Lytechinus pictus: one gene and its partner. The protein of the gene in region 1 interacts with the protein of each later gene in a pairwise test. Links are inferred from orthologs where the notes say so. Each region holds a gene or a part of one and is shown on either strand. Other genes may lie near its edges. The genes, in order: probable tRNA(His) guanylyltransferase and U1 small nuclear ribonucleoprotein A-like.

Region 1 (8,170 bases):
ACAATTCGCCCTCGTGTATATGTAGAGATCGGAAAAAATTGCAAACTAGTTCACTACGGTTTGACACGTTCCAAAATATATAGAGAGGAGATGAGAAATTGCGAACTAGTTTGCAACAATTTAACGTCATGTATATGTAGAGATCCGAAAAATAGCGAAATAGTTCGCTACAATTTCCCCCTCGTATATATGTAGAGGAGATCTGGAAAATAGCGAACTAGTTCGCTACAGTTTGACACGTTCTATAATATATAGAGAGATGAGAAATTGCGAACTAGTTTGCAACAATTTAACGTCGTGTATATGTAGAGGAGATCCGAAAAATAGCGAACTAGTTCGCTACAATGCCCCCTCGTATATATATAGAGGAGATCCGGAAAATTTCCCGTTCGTGTATATGTAGAGGTCCGGAAAATAGCAAATTAGTTCGCTACAATTTCCCCCTCGTATATATGTAGAGGAGATCCGGAAAATAGCAAACTAGTTCGCTACATTTCCCCCTCGTATATATATAGAGATCCGGAAAATAGCGAACTAGTTAGCTACAATTTCCCCCTTTGTATATATAGAGGAGATCCGAAAAATTGCGAACTAGTTCGCTTCAGTTTGACACGTCGTATGATATAGACTAATACAAGGAGATTGCTACAAATTTTGACGCTTATATATAAGCGTTGAAGATCGCAATATTTGCCATCTATAAAATACTGTGCGTATGAAGGTTCCAAAAATTGGTTAATAAAAAAGTGAAAATTTTAAAATTTAAGGTTTCTTACCAGACCGATCTCATGTAGATCCCTCGATCCGTTTGTCAACAAAGCAAATACAATAGGTCTGACCCTTGAACCGCTTCGTTATGAAGTACATTCGATTACATCGCTAATTGAATGTACGTCATAACGAAGCGGTTCAAGGGTCAGACCTATTGTATTTGCTTTGTTGACAAACAAATCGAGGGATCTACACGAGATCGGTCTGGTAAGAAACCTAAAACTTTTCACTTTTTTATTAACCAATTTTTTTAACCTTCATATGCATTAGGTGTTTGAAGGTTAAAATATCAATAAAATTTACCCTCTAACTATGGATTTCCTAGGGAAATCCATCCGGGTGTCTAGGTCTCGCTTCTGCGTCTATGCCTGGAAAGAGTTAGTGTCAAGGGCAGGCTCCATGATGAAGAAGTATATGTCAAAATATTAAAAAAACATCATGGAGTCCTCGACTGCTCAAGACTAATCCCGACCTAACCCAGGGAGCTCCAGCCCGCGCAGCGGGCCGGAGCCCAGGGGCTTACAGTGTAATTCACCATACCCACGGTAGTAGCGTGAAGTATGGTCTAAATAATTATTCGAATAAATAGTTAAAACAGAAATTAAGCACTTACCACGATTATATGGATGAAGGTCTAACGAGTGGCAGCTTCCTGACATCGAGGCACAGACTGGAACCTCAAAAAACGAAAAGTTCTGTCGCGGTAACTCTCCTTCTTTCAGAATTCATAGCAAAATGGCCGTTTGAGACCGGTACCGAGGGTGTAGGGCGCATGCGCGAATTTGACAAAGTCTATATGCGCTAGTGCTATAGCTAGCCTCGGTCTCAATCGGCCATTTTGTTTTGAATTCTGAAAGAAGGAGAGCTACCGCGACAGAACTTTTCGTTTTTTGAGGTTCCAGTCTGTACCTCGATGTCAGGAAGCTGCCACTCGTTAGACCTTCATCCATATAATTGTGGTAAGTGCTTAATTTCTGTTTTAACTATTTATTCGAATAATTATTTAGACCATACTTCACGCTACTACCGTGGGTATGGTGAATTACACGGTAAGCCCCTGGGCTCCGGCCCGCTGCGCGGGCCGGAGCTCCCTGGGTTAATCCCGACCCAGGCCAGGCTCCATCATTCATGGAGAGTAAGCCTACCGGTACTTTTATTAGAAGACTGATTTTTACCCTCCAGAAGCCTCCAGGCTAATCGATCTAACGTTAGGCCTACTTGAAAATCACCCAATGCAGACTGCAGTCACTGTCCAGTATACCGCCCATTACTGGATACTATTAATATACCAAGTTGTTGTGTGTCCGGACAGGTTGTGTGTCCGGACGATCAATTTTAGAAAGTCATTTGGAAAAATTTACAAGCGAAGTTTCATAAATTTTTAGTACAAAATGTTAGGAAATATTATAAAGAACAAAATAGAAGATGATTACAATACAACTACAAGTATTGAATTCATATTTTTAGTGTAATCCAAATACAAAAAAGAAGGCTTCAAAAATATAAAGACTAAAGTGTCCGGACACCCGATCCCCCATCCTACATGTAGTACTAGTAGGATGGGGGGTCGGGTGTCCGGACACTTTATATTTTTTTTTGTCTTTGGATTACACTAGACACTAGTAAAAATATGAATTCAATAGTTGTATTATAATCATCTTCTATTTTGTTCTCTATAATATTTCCTAACACTTTGTATACCCAGTTGTTGTGTGTCCGGACAGGTTGTGTGTCCGGACGATCAATATTAGAAAGTCATTTGGAAAAAATTACAAGCGAAGTTTCATCAATTTTTAGTACAAAATGTTAGGAAATATTATAAAGAACAAAATAGAAGAGGATTACAAGTATTGAATTAATATTTTTAGTGTAATCCAAAGACAAAAAAGAAGGCTTCAAAAAGATAAACTGTCCGGACACCCAATCCCCCATCCTACTAAAAATTGATGAAACTTCGCTTGTAAATTTTAACAAATGACTTTCTAAAATTGATCGTCCGGACACACAACTGGGTATACGTAATGGAGACATCTACGGTACTCACAGACACAGTCACTCACAGCCTAACTTTAGACAGGAATAACCGTCGTTTCTGGGGATTTATTCAACAATTTCTGACATTTTACTATAATCCCCATTTACCATGTATTGGTGAGTGAGCCAACGCGGTTCAGCGGAACAACCAAAATACAGACTGAAGCTTTTGGTCTACTCACAGCCTTGCCACCCCGGGAGTTGAGCGGTCAAATTCAGATCAGCTCAGCGTCCGCAGTCAACTGCTGAGATGTGCGGGCGAGAAGAAGTTTGCACATTTATAAAACATCATCGGAATTTGTTTATCACGTTGTACGGTGTCATTAATGATAGTTAAATAGATATCGAATAAATTAGTTAGGAAGTTAGGGTGTTACTAGCTACAGAAGAAGATCTCAATTTAGTGACGTCTCGAAAATGTTTGATCCAGCAGCCGGCCTTTTGCTCAATGTGGGATAAAGATACCGTACCGGTACCAGGCTGAAGCCAGCGCACAAACCCAGCGCACAGAATATAGTGCAGCAAGCCAGCGAACAAACCCAGCGCACAGAGCTATCGCGATACAAAACGCCCAGCAACGTGTGCGTAGTCTATTAGTTGCAGACCCTAAATACAGCTTAAATTCACAAACGTCTCGAATATTGTCATAATGCGCACGGAAATGGTTTTTAGTTAAAAGGCATAGTTACCCAAACTTACCGTGATTCAAAAATATGGAATTTCCGTTATGCATTATTCCACATTAAGATTGCTTCAAATATTAGTATATGACTGATAACATTTATGACATGGCAATGGCATATGCAGTGCAGCTGAAAATAATACAAATCGAGAAGAATCAAACACGGGATCAAACAAAGTTGGTAAAACAATATCGGACAAGGATAACAGAGTTATGATATTTTAAAGATCCGCATTTCGGACAGTTCTATATGCATTTCTTTTTTAACATTCAATGGAGAAAAGTAATATCTTCTGTATACTTATTCCCACTGTTTTAATCATAAGAAATCATGATTATTCAAAGTTCCTCCTCCTAGAATTAAAAATATTGCATCAAAAATATTAAAGCATTTGTTCATTAATGGACATTATTTTGATATAAGAGACATTACATGATTAAAAAAATGATTTCATGTAAGAACATTTTATATAAGCAAGACGAAAATTGGAACACGATCGAAATCATAATCACTCAATGGATAGTCATGACTGCGTGCATTTTATTTTCACAAAATACTGCTGACTTCAATATTCATTATCAGATTTTGATGATTGCTTCCGTATTCTCCTTTGTAAATTTAACTCTTATTGATAACTATATTATTCCCAGCGCGGAGGATGAATCCATTTTATGTTTTCTAAGTTTCCTACATGTATCAATATATTTTTTAATATTCCCTTAAAAAATGCATCAATTAATGATTTTATGTGAAGGATCAGTCCCTCTCACATGGGCCTTGAACCAGGGGGGGGGGGGCAGACCCACATTACATTCTCAATAAAAATTAAATACTGAACGACCTTGATCCATGCATCCCCTGCGTTTCGAGAAATCTTAGACCCCGTCCCCCCTTTTCTGTGCACCACTGTTCACCCCTAGATCGATGGAGTGATTAATAAAGATCAATTTGGTTGATTTTCAAGACATGAAATGGTTATTTTGATTAGCGGCGAATTTATTTCCAAACCAAAGTGGAATTGTTGGAATACACATAGCACGCGCTATGTTTTGATCGACGCACCCCCCACATTTCGGGGCATCGGAGACCCCGTCCCCCTTTTCTGTGCACCAATCTTCACCTCTAGATCGATGAAGTGATTAATGAAGATCAATTGGCTTCATTTTCAAGACATAAAAAGGTGATTTCGATTAGCGGCGAATTTATTACCAAACCAAAGTGGAATTGTTGGAATACACGTATATAATACATAGCATTTTCGTCCATGCCCCCCTACCTTTCGGGGCATCGTAGACCCCGTCCCCCTTTTCTCTGCACCAATGTTCACCCCTAAATCGATGAAATGACTAATAAAGATCAATTTCGCTGATTTTCAAGACATAAAAAGGTGATTTCGATTAGCGGCGAATTTATTACCAGCCCCCGGCCACCAAAGTGGAATAGTTGGAATACACGTACATAATAAATAGCACGCCATAACAGCTCGCGCGATATTTTCGGCAATGCACCCCGACCTTTCGGGGCACCGTAGACCCCGTCCTCCTTTTCTGTGCACCAATGTTCACCCCTAGATCGATGGAGTGATTAATGAAGATCAATTTGCTTCATTTTCAAGACATAAAAAGGTGATTTCGATTAGCGGCGAATTTATTACCAAACCAAAGTGTAATTGTTGGAATACACGTATATAATACATAGCATTTTCATCCATGCCCCCCCTACCTTTCGGGGCATCGTAGACCCCGTCCCCCTTTTCTCTGCACCAATGTTCACCCCTAAATCGATGGAATGACTAATAAAGATCAATTTCGCTGATTTTCAAGACATAAAAAGGTGATTTCGATTAGCGGCGAATTTATTACCAGCCCCCGGCCACCAAAGTGGAATAGTTGGAATACACGTATAGCACGCCATAACAGCTCGCGCGATATTTTCGGCAATGCACCCCGACCTTTCGGGGCACCGTAGACCCCGTCCTCCTTTTCTGTGCACCAATGTTCACCCCTAGATCGATGGAGTGATTAATGAAGATCAATTTGCTCCATTTTCAAGACATAAAAAGGTGATTTCGATTAGCGGCGAATTTATTACCAAACCAAAGTGGAATTGTTGGAATACACGTATATAATACATAGCATTTTCGTCCATGCCCCCCCCCCCCTACCTTTCGGGGCATCGTAGACCCCGTCCCCCTTTTCTGTGCACCAATGTTCACCCCTAAATCGATGGAATGACTAATAAAGATCAATTTCGCTGATTTTCAAGACATAAAAAGGTGATTTCGATTAGCGGCGAATTTATTACCAGCCCCCGGCCACCAAAGTGGAATAGTTGGAATACACGTACATAATATATAGCACGCCATAACAGCTCGCGCGATATTTTCGGCAATGCACCCCGACCTTTCGGGGCACCGTAGACCCCGTCTTCCTTTTCTGTGCACCAATGTTCACCCCTAGATCGATGGAGTGATTAATGAAGATCAATTTGCTTCATTTTCAAGACATAAAAAGAAGATTTTGATTAGCGGCGAATTTATTACCAAACCAAAGTGGAATTGTTGGAATACACGTATATAATACATAGCATTTTCGTCCATGCACCCCGACCTTTCGGGGCATCGTAGACCCCGTCTCCCTTTTCTGTGCACCAATGTTCACCCCTAGATCGATGGAATGATTAATGAAGATCAATTTGCTCCATTTTCAAGACATAAAAAGGTGATTTCGATTAGCGGCGAATTTATTACAAAACCAAAGTGGAATTGTTGGAATACACGTATATAATACATAGCATTTTCGTCCATGCACCCCCTACCTTTCGGGGCATCGTAGACCCCGTCCCCCTTTTCTGTGCACCAATGTTCACCCCTAAATCGATGGAATGACTAATAAAGATCAATTTCGCTGATTTTTAAGACATAAAAAGAAGATTTTGATTAGCGGCGAATTTATTACCAAACCAAAGTGGAATTGTTGGAATACACGTATATAATACATAGCATTTTCGTCCATGCCCCCCCCCCTACCTTTCGGGGCATCGTAGACCCCGTCCCCCTTTTCTCTGCACCAATGTTCACCCCTAAATCGATGAAATGACTAATAAAGATCAATTTCGCTGATTTTCAAGACATAAAAAGGTGATTTCGATTAGCGGCGAATTTATTACCAGCTAGCCCCCGGCCACCAAAGTGGAATAGTTGGAATACACGTACATAATAAATAGCACGCCATAACAGCTCGCGCGATATTTTCGGCAATGCACCCCGACCTTTCGGGGCACCGTAGACCCCGTCCTCCTTTTCTGTGCACCAATGTTCACCCCTAGATCGATGGAGTGATTAATGAAGATCAATTTGCTCCATTTTCAAGACATAAAAAGGTGATTTCGATTAGCGGCGAATTTATTACCAAACCAAAGTGGAATTGTTGGAATACACGTATATAATACATAGCATTTTCGTCCATGCATGCACCCCCTACCTTTCGGGGCATCGTAGACCCCGTCCCCCTTTTCTGTGCACCAATGTTCACCCCTAAATCGATGGAATGACTAATAAAGATCAATTTCGCTGATTTTTAAGACATAAAAAGAAGATTTTGATTAGCGGCGAATTTATTACCAAACCAAAGTGGAATTGTTGGAATACACGTATATAATACACAGCATTTTCGTCCATGCCCCCCCCCCTACCTTTCGGGGCATCGTAGACCCCGTCCCCCTTTTCTCTGCATCAATGTTCACCCCTAAATCGATGAAATGACTAATAAAGATCAATTTCGCTGATTTTCAAGACATAAAAAGGTGATTTCGATTAGCGGCGAATTTATTACCAGCCCCCGGCCACCAAAGTGGAATAGTTGGAATACACGTACATAATAAATAGCACGCCATAACAGCTCGCGCGATATTTTCGGCAATGCACCCCGACCTTTCGGGGCACCGTACGTAGACCCCGTCCTCCTTTTCTGTGCACCAATGTTCACCCCTAGATCGATGGAGTGATTAATGAAGATCAATTTGCTTCATTTTCAAGACATAAAAAGGTGATTTCGATTAGCGGCGAATTTATTACCAAACCAAAGTGGAATTGTTGGAATACACGTATATAATACATAGCATTTTCATCCATGCCCCCCCTACCTTTCGGGGCATCGTAGACCCCGTCCCCCTTTTCTCTGCACCAATGTTCACCCCTAAATCGATGGAATGACTAATAAAGATCAATTTCGCTGATTTTCAAGACATAAAAAGGTGATTTCGATTAGCGGCGAATTTATTACCAGCTAGCCCCCGGCCACCAAAGTGGAATAGTTGGAATACACGTACATAATATATAGCACGCCATAACAGCTCGCGCGATATTTTCGGCAATGCACCCCGACCTTTCGGGGCACCGTAGACCCCGTCTTCCTTTTCTGTGCACCAATGTTCACCCCTAGATCGATGGAGTGATTAATGAAGATCAATTTCCTTCATTTTCAAGACATAAAAAGGTTCTTTCGATTAGCGGCGAATTTATTACCAGCCCCCGGCCACTAAAGTGGAATAGTTGGAATACACTTACATAATATATAGCACGCCATAACAGCTCGCGCGATATTTTCGGTAATGCACCCCGACCTTTCGGGGCACCGTAGACCCCGTCCCCCTTTTCTGTGCACCAATGTTCACCCCTAAAT
Region 2 (9,118 bases), on another chromosome or scaffold:
TTTACGAAATTTCCTGCAATATCTTGTTATTTTTCTTTAAATTCAAATGAATTTTTGATTGCATGGACTTCTCCTTTACTCTTAATGTAGGGAATGCATAGCAAAAAATTTTCAGAACCAAAATTGTCTTAATAGAATATGCAAATCAGTAATTGGACACATGTTCACTTTTCTTTCATCCAGGCCACTTCCTCACATCCACCAGGCTTTCAGTCTTATAACAAAAATGATGAACCATCACACAACAGCACACAACATTCACAGTGCTTCACAATAAATATTTCACTTCTGTTCATACATGCAATAAATATTGTGGAAAACAAATAAAAGGCGTACCCATATTCAAATACTGTTTAAAAGGACAAATATATTATACCTTTCGAGAAAAATCAGCACGTTAAATATCTGATAACAAAACATAATTATGGGGCACTGCAAGAAACTTATGTTCAATTGCAAATCAAGCGTAAGTCTTAAATTCAAATTCAAGCGTAATAAGGTCGAGTTGCAATCGCAATTCAACTACATGTTTAATCAAAGGACTTACCCTTGATTTGGGACGTGTGATTGAGACATTTCTCGCAAAATGCCCTAGTAACATTAAAATTGTTCTTTCGTTTTAAATTGTGTGTTATTATTTTTGACAAGCTGTATTCCTGTCCAAGTCAAATTTCTTAGTTCTCTCCAAAACTGTGCTCAAAATTGTTTCCAAGATTGATAAAGAAAATTTTTCTTTTGTATCATTATCATTCCACAACTTGCAAACCGTAGGTCCTGGAAAGAGTGAAGAAAAAAATGGCTATATCCATATCATAGTAAAAGGACATGATGGAATCTCCCAGATTGAGGTAGCAAGCAGAGACCAGAAGTCACCAGAGTCAGCAAGTGTGCAGATCTGTGTGTAGAAGAGAGAAAAAAAGAAATAGTTTAAATAATCAAATCAAAGTATGAATTCAATTATCGTGATGATTGATGACGTGCGGTGGCATGTAATTCCCGGTCAACAACAAATGATAGTAGGTTTAGACACCTGAAAAGTTCCACTCAGAACACTGATGCTCTACCTCAAGTGATGTTTGTGTAAGCCCCACTCCACTTCACTACCGTACATGTACGCCACACCTACCCAGGTAGGTGTGTAGCGTAGTGTAGGCTGTAGCAGTAGTGAAGTGGAGACTACACGAACATCATTTGAGGTACGGTGCTCTATGAGTCTCTGTGTCATTACAAAGATTGCATTTATCTTCATTGTTGAAGGCATTACGCATGCATATATGCAGCAACACTCTAATCAGAAAGAAACACCAGACTCTAATTATGGCCCACCCAAGGGTTCATTACATGCCGCCGCGCAAAGAAAATTCAAGCCATAGAAGTCGTGTGTTGTGGACCCAAGAAGTGAGATCCCAGCACGCGCGACCCACTAGTTAGAAATCCACTGCCAAAAACGCGGTTCGTGGTGCGAGGTTAGTATACTAATACTAACCTCGCAATACGTGTGAGTGATTTTGGCCAGGAATCAGGGTAATCACTGCTGAAAATTTGTCTGGCTTCATGACATCGGCATCATGGTGATATATTTCTGTGTATAATAAAAACTTAAACATTCCTCTGAAACAACAGATTTTCAGCCATGGTCCATACCAGTGATCCTAAATAATTTAATCGCCTGCCCGAGTCCTGACCAGTTTTAGAAATCTGAAGAAAAAATCTGCTGGAATTGTGCAAAAACATTATTTCTATAAAAAAAACTTTTTAATTTTAATAGTATACGCCAAAATGCATGATTCTAAACTTATATCAGATCTGTATCTGTCATCTGACCTGAATGCATCGTCAGAACAAGTACAGTTTCCAAACATGCTTACCTTGACTTTTGACTGGATCAAACAGCGTAACCTGCAGTGCAACATGCATCGGGAGCAAGTGAATGGGACCGTGCAGCTTGGAGTTTTTCAATAGTTTAAGTTAGTAGAGCAACACAACGTAGACTGTCGAGTGGACAAAATCGATCTTTCCAGTTCACAATTCAATAAAAACCGGGCAAAATAACACAGTTCTGGTTCCCTTAATAGTCTGAAGTTGTCGAAAACAGAATTCGGATATCACAATACATGAAGAAAACGGTAAATTCGAAGAAAAATAGAGACCAGGAAGGTGAATCAGCTATCACTCAGTGTACTGCTGGCAGAGCGGCTGAGTGAGTCGATCATCATGTGACGTCATTATTCTCGACTGTATTTCATCGCGTTAGTGTGTGTCTGGGGGCGGATGGGGGGCTGAGAAGGGTCTCTAATAATTTCATTTCTTGCATTTCCACGACATCAATAAGACTTTTTAGTGACATATTTGTGTATAAAAAGACAAGACCTTTCCATTCATATATAATTTGTCTATAATCATCACTTTCGTGAATTTTCTTTGGATGTATACTTTAAGAATTTTTATAAAATAGCTGTATTATTTCAAGCATCGCGATTGGTCAATACGCGTCACATGACATCCAACTTTTTTTGTGCACTGCACGGTAGTGCAAAAGGTGTGCAACGAAAATTGACATTGCACGCTCGAGCAAACCAGTGCGGTAAAGTCCTACAAAACTGTACTGTAACTTTTTAAAAAATTGTTTCTGTGTTGCTATTTTATAAAACAAATAATGCACTTGCTCTGTCGTGCGTAAAAGTAAATGCAGAGAAAGCTCGGTTTCTTCAGATGGAGCACACTGGGCACTCGCCGCAAGCGGCTCGTGCACAGTGCGACTCCTATCTAAAGAAACCTCGCGTGCTCTGCATTTCCACTAACGCACTCGGCTGCATGCATTATTTGTATACTAACGTCAACGAGCATGACTTTTTTAACTTACCATCTTTCTTTATCTTTTCATTAAGGTTGTTGATGTAAATTGTGTGATTTGGAGCAGCCATCTCGACTTGGATTCTCACTTTTTCAGTTGCTGTAGGTTAGAATCTGACTGAAGAAAAATTAAGAGTTGAGACGAGTCAGAAAAAAATTACCCGAAATCTCGCCCAGTCAAAATTACACGAAATAGTATATCTGGGACCACGTAATAAATACGATTATTTTCAAATACTCAAAATACAAAAACATATATTACTTTGGGATCGAAACATCCAGGTATGATAGCAATAAATATAATTCAATTGAAAGAATATACAAATCAAGATGGATGAATGATTAAAAAGTATGATTTTGAACGATTCTCAAGTGACAACACATACCCTCTCACAACACATAAACGCCAACAGTGTAATTAAATAAAATAAGCGGAAATATTTATCCTAATTTTATTGCCAATTTGATTACTAAAATGATTGCTAGTACATAACCGAAAGTTGGCGCGGGGGTCTAATGTTTTATTTTCCGGTGAGGAGGGGGGGGGGGGCGAAAAATATTTAGAATGTTATAAAGTAATTTTCTTTGCAAATAAACTGAAAATCTTACACAGCCCTAAAAGCGAGCGGGCAAAACGTTCTAGGCTGATAAAGTGTGCATTTTATTTTTATTTTATTTATTTATCATCCAGTAATCACTATTTCTTTTGTATTTTATTATATGAAATACTGAATATTTGAATTTTCACTTCATTGTCAAGTGAATCAAAGATTAATTCCTCCCTGAACATGTGGAATTAACATTATTTTGATACTATATGGGCCCGTATAGTGGGTCAGTCAAGTTGGCCCTTCCCTGATAGCAGAAACTGGTAAAAATGACGTTATATTTACGTCATTTTTACGACGAGTCTCACGTCATATTGACGTCGTAACATGACGTCTTAATCACGGGATCTTGCACCCGCGAATAACGTCATTATGACGTCGTATATTGACGTCATTATGACGTCTCCAAGAGTGACTACGACGTCTTAATGACGTCTTTGCAACGTTTTTACAACGTTTTCCTGACCAGTATCAAGGGTCAGATTGACGTCGTGTATTGACGTGATTATGACGTCTTCGAGAGTCAACCACGACGTCTTAATGACATCCGTGCAACGTGTTCCTGACCGGTTTTAGACGTCATATTGATGTAATTATGACGTCTTTAAAAGTCATCTACGACGTCTTAATGACAATTTTGCAACGTATTCCTGACCAGTTTCAGACGTCATAGTGATGTAATTATGACGTCTTTATAAGTCATCTACGACGTCTGAATGACGACTTTGCAACATATTGCTGACTAGTAATAGACGTCATATTGACGTCGCATATAGAAATGAATATGACGTCTTTTGGAGTCAACTATGATATCTGAACGTATTCTGACGTGATAATGACCTTAACATTAAATTCTACATGCAATGTACATACACACATCACTTCAAAGACCTTGTCATTGAGGATTATCTATATTTGGTGAATACTGAGGTGGTCTGAAAATGTCTAGCATTCCCAGTAACAATATAATGATCCTCCATGCCAGGGCCTTGCATAACTTGTCTCAGTCTCAAGAACATGACCCCCCCCCCCCCCCCCCGAAAAAGAATATATACAAAAATGGAAAACGAAATCAAATACATGTACGCATTTCAATTACGAAATCGTGGCAAATATTCTATTAATAAATAAAAGTTGCATAACATGATATTACCAGCAAAAAAAAGGAAAACCAAAAAGTTGAAAACTCTAAATAGATTTTTTAAAAACCCCACTTTTCTATGAAAATGCAGTATTAGGGTCAAAGGAATGAAATTACAATGTTTGTTATACCAATACATACAATTGAAAATGTATAAATACACATTAATACATAACAGAGGCATAATGATTTCCAAGAATAAAGCTTTTTCGTTGAAATTGTAATTAAATATACCTTCAACTTTAGACAACTATGTAATGTATTTTTTAAAAAATACCTGAGTTGGAATAATTTCATGATTTATGGAAGCTCGCATTTGGGTGAAAGAATCATACATGTACATTAATTCTTATGAAAAGTTTGGGTTGTATTACACTATCACTTAGGGGTAAAAGAGAGTAGTTGCAGCAAACAATTAATTCTTCGGAAAGTCTTTTAAATTATGGTTAATTGTCAAAATATTGTACATAATCTAGATCTGGGCCCCGTCTTACAAAGAGTTACGATTGATCTGATCAATCATAACTCTAAGGAAACCCATCAGTGTCATAATTTTTTTTCTACGAAAAATTTGCACAATGTCCTTTGTATGCAAAGAGAAGCGCAGCAAATTTTTGAGAAAACAATGAATGCATGAACATACATCATAGCTAGAAAATATTTTGAACAAACATGCTTAATAGATGTTAACGTTGCTGACCGTCCATATTTGCGATTGATCGGATCAATCATAACTCTTTGTAAGACGGGGCCCTGGTAAATTAATGTAAACTTGTATCTTTGTAAAATCATGAATTTTGAACTTAAAGAGAAGTTCCAGTAGTTGCAGTAAACACTGATTTCATGAGAAAGTCTGTAAAACAAGGCTTAATTGGCAGTATATCATCGAGGATCTAGATCTGGTACAGTTACATAAACTGAACTTTGTGAAATCCTGAAATCTACGCTGAAAAATGTTCACACTGAAGATCACCAACACAGATAGGCACACGTGGGACAGTGTATTATTATTGCTGGAATAAAGACCCGACGGAAGTGACCGAATCCGCGCTTATTTTGCTTATTTCTCAGCAATTACACAATTTCTTCCAGAATCCTTTGGCACATATTTTTTATTCATACAAACAAACACTTGGGTGGTCATTATATTAGATTCTGTAAAAAGTCATTTTGAGATCGTTACCAAAACTGGAATTTATCTTTAAAATCAATAATTCTGATGATCACTAACACAGAAAAGCATATGAGGGACTGGACAGTGTATTATGATTGATTCGAAAAATACTCGACATTTGATAGAATTACATGCTTATTTTGCTCATTTCTCAGCAATTACACATTTTCTTCCCGAGCTATTTGGCACACATCTTTTATATATACACTTTGCTGGTAATTCTGTTGGATTCTGTTCGAACTCATTTTAAGATAGTTACTACTAGAGGTGGGCTATTAACTTAAGGCAACTATGTAATGTAGGAAAAAATATACTGTATTTTAAAAAAATACCTGAGTTGCAAGGTTTTCATGATTTATGGAAGCTTGCATTTGGGTGAAAGAATCATACATTAATAAGTCTGATGAAAATAGTTTGTGGAACTGTTGTATTACACTATCACTTAGAAGGAAAAGACAGTAGTTGCAGCAAACAATTATTTCTTGAGAAAATCTATAAAATCAAAGTTAATTGTCAATATATTGTACATAATCTACATCTGGTACATTAATGTAAACTTGTATCTTTGTAAAATCATGAATTTTTAAACTTAAAATCGATAATTCTGATGATCGCTATAAACACAGAAAAGCATATGTGGGACAGTGTATTATAATCGATTCGAAAAATACCTGACATTTGATAGAATTACATGCTTATTTTGCTCATTTCTCAGCAATTACGCATTTTCATTTTCTTCCCTACATGTAGCTACGTTGGCTTTTTATGTGAGCTGAGAGATTTCATACCAGATTTCCTATGCTTGATAAAGTTCTTATGATAGTCTGTGTATCAGCATAGCATGTGTTCAGTGTTTTGAACCCACTGGAAATTGTGCATCATATCTTTATGTATGGAAGTCATTTTGCGTCTGCGGTCTCCATGGTTTTTTCAGGATCTATGTGTTGACTAGACCAGTCCCATATTGATATTTTCATGCTGTGTCACTTTGGAAGGCCGTCTCTAATTGGTTGACTGGTGAGTTGGCAGATGCACAGCCCATCCCACTTTTCAATTATATCATTACGTAATCTCTAACATCATGTCTAAGATATCCACCAGATCAAGAGGCCGCTTGCACTCGGCTAACGCATGTACACAATCCTCTGATTCATCATTAACTGGATCTAAACAAAGCCCAGCATACCTAAATCATATTGATACAGTCGTTCAAAGAGCGGCGGCCGTGGCAATGGAACGCGAGAGACAAAAACTCAATGATGACATGGATAAGCACGAAAATAAATTGCGTGAAATTCTTGATGAAAAACTCACTAGTCCACACGTTCTTGAAATATCTATCGATACTAAATTGAAGCAACTCCGTGATTTAAAAAAATCTGTTTCTGATAACATGACTAACACCATAATGCTTTGTCAAATAGGCTTGACCACATCGAGCAGTACTCCTGTCGCAATAATATCCGTATCCGTATGAGATTGTTCGAAATGCAGCAAAGCAGATTGGTATCGATCTTACTCCATGCGACATTGATCGATCCCATCACCTTCGCCGACCAACTAGCAGTCATGATGTTCAACCCCAAGGATCATACCCCAGCGTGGCCCTGTAATGCCAACTTAGCAGCTCCACCAATCAATGTGAAATTCACTTCATACAAGCCGAAACGAACGATGATGAAAAATAGAGCAGGCAGGCAAGGCAGTTCAGGTGGGATGAAAATTTAATGGCAGGACACCTTCCATTTCAATTTACAGCATCTGCAAAAATAACAGAAGAGGAGAAACATAAAAACCTTTTCTACATAAACTATTTATTAATCTTCATTAAAAACTAGATGGTTTCAATATTAATTTCCAATTTATTTCAAATGATTTAAAAATGATGTGGGGTTTGTTACAGATTTTATACTTCAAATATTAACATGTACAGTCAAGTCGGGGGGGTGGGCATGATGCCCTCACGACCTTTAACCATCTCTGTATAAGGAAGGAAAATTTTAGAATCAATTTATTTGACACATAAAACTTTTTTTTTTTTATTATTACAATTTTAATTCAAGCCTTTTTATGTGTTTTAAATGGTTATGGGGTAACCAGGACTGTCAGGACTGAGAATTTGAACTTCAAGGCCGAAATACAGCCATTCCCTATGCCTGATTTGGCTTAAATTAAGGTCAACTGGTCAAGGATCAATTAAATATATATTTTGCAAAAAAAATCTGACAAATTTTGAGGTGGAATTAGTTTTCTTGCATCGCGAGATCGACCAATGCTAAATTTTATTAGCGCCAATTTACCATCTAAACTTTTCATTGAAATTAGAACATCCAAACCGATCCACTATGTCAGCCTGGAATCTAGTACCAGTACTAGCACAATCAATCAGCTATGCATGTGCACCAATTCTGTATTTCTTGCATACGTACGTCACTCGAGTTAAAATTCATGTCATTGCGTTATATAGCGTGGGAACTGGAAGTGATCCTTCAAAATTTTTACCTTCCTACGATTAACATTTTTTAAGCCTTTGTATGCATTTAGAGTACAAAAGCTTACAAATTGGACAAATTAGCATTTTCTAGGGAAATCCATCTTAGTGTACAAAGTTCTACAGGCAACAGAGACTTGTCTAGGCTCCGTGAATGAAAATACAATGAAAAAATGATAAAAATATCACAGAGTCCTCGAAGTACAGTCAGGACCATTGACAGATTATAAGGTGCCCCAAGTTTGCGCACACCCAAATCTGCGTGATTCTGATAATAGAGATTCCCAATGAACCCAAATAAAAAATAAGCTTTACATCTGAAATAGCCTTCTTACTTACCTACTGCCCGATGCCTCCTAGCATGTAGGGCAGCAACGAAGGATCTCCACTCCTGGCATCTGACGATTCTGGGCCTTCTTCTGGAAACTCCCCCAGGCCAGGTCATATTCACTGACTTCATCTCCTCCTCAACTCCTCATGTGTGACACCGAGACAGGTGGTTTTTGTGTCTCCCTCTCTTTCTCCTGAAATGTCAAACAGAACTTTTCATTAAAAATCTTACTCAAAATGGTGCTTTTGGTAGAAAAATAATGAATATAGGGCATTTCATATGACGGCCTTAACCCTTATTAAACTGGGGGGGGGGGGGGGGGGGGGGCGCTCACTGACTTTTTACTTTCAAGTCTCGCGCAAATTTTGAGACCAAATTTGTGATGCCCAGGTACGTGGTTACGACATTACGCAACATTATGTAAGTGCATGTCAGACCCAAAATTGCTCATAAACATGATTTCATGTACAATTCCAATGCAAATTGTGCATTTAGCCAAAATTCATAAATTTATCATTAT

Evidence for each region.
Region 2: the proteins of probable tRNA(His) guanylyltransferase (region 1) and U1 small nuclear ribonucleoprotein A-like interact in binary tests that used the Drosophila melanogaster proteins (3 or more experiments, as listed by UniProt). The link is inferred for Lytechinus pictus from reciprocal best matches to the Drosophila melanogaster genes THG and snf.

The regions. Positions count from the first base shown.
Region 1 is NC_087256.1:739,603-747,772, reverse strand, and holds the start of probable tRNA(His) guanylyltransferase, read right to left. Parts: upstream 3,263-8,170; 5' UTR 2,914-3,262; intron 1-2,913. UniProt on the Drosophila melanogaster protein: Adds a GMP to the 5'-end of tRNA(His) after transcription and RNase P cleavage.
Region 2 is NC_087250.1:14,947,447-14,956,564, forward strand, and holds the start of U1 small nuclear ribonucleoprotein A-like, read right to left. Parts: upstream 3,294-9,118; 5' UTR 3,240-3,293; intron 3,228-3,239; exon of another isoform or gene 3,116-3,227; intron 2,972-3,115; 5' UTR 2,925-2,971; coding exon 2,864-2,924; intron 1-2,863. UniProt on the Drosophila melanogaster protein: Binds stem loop II of U1 snRNA. It is the first snRNP to interact with pre-mRNA. This interaction is required for the subsequent binding of U2 snRNP and the U4/U6/U5 tri-snRNP. Plays a role in regulating sex-lethal splicing.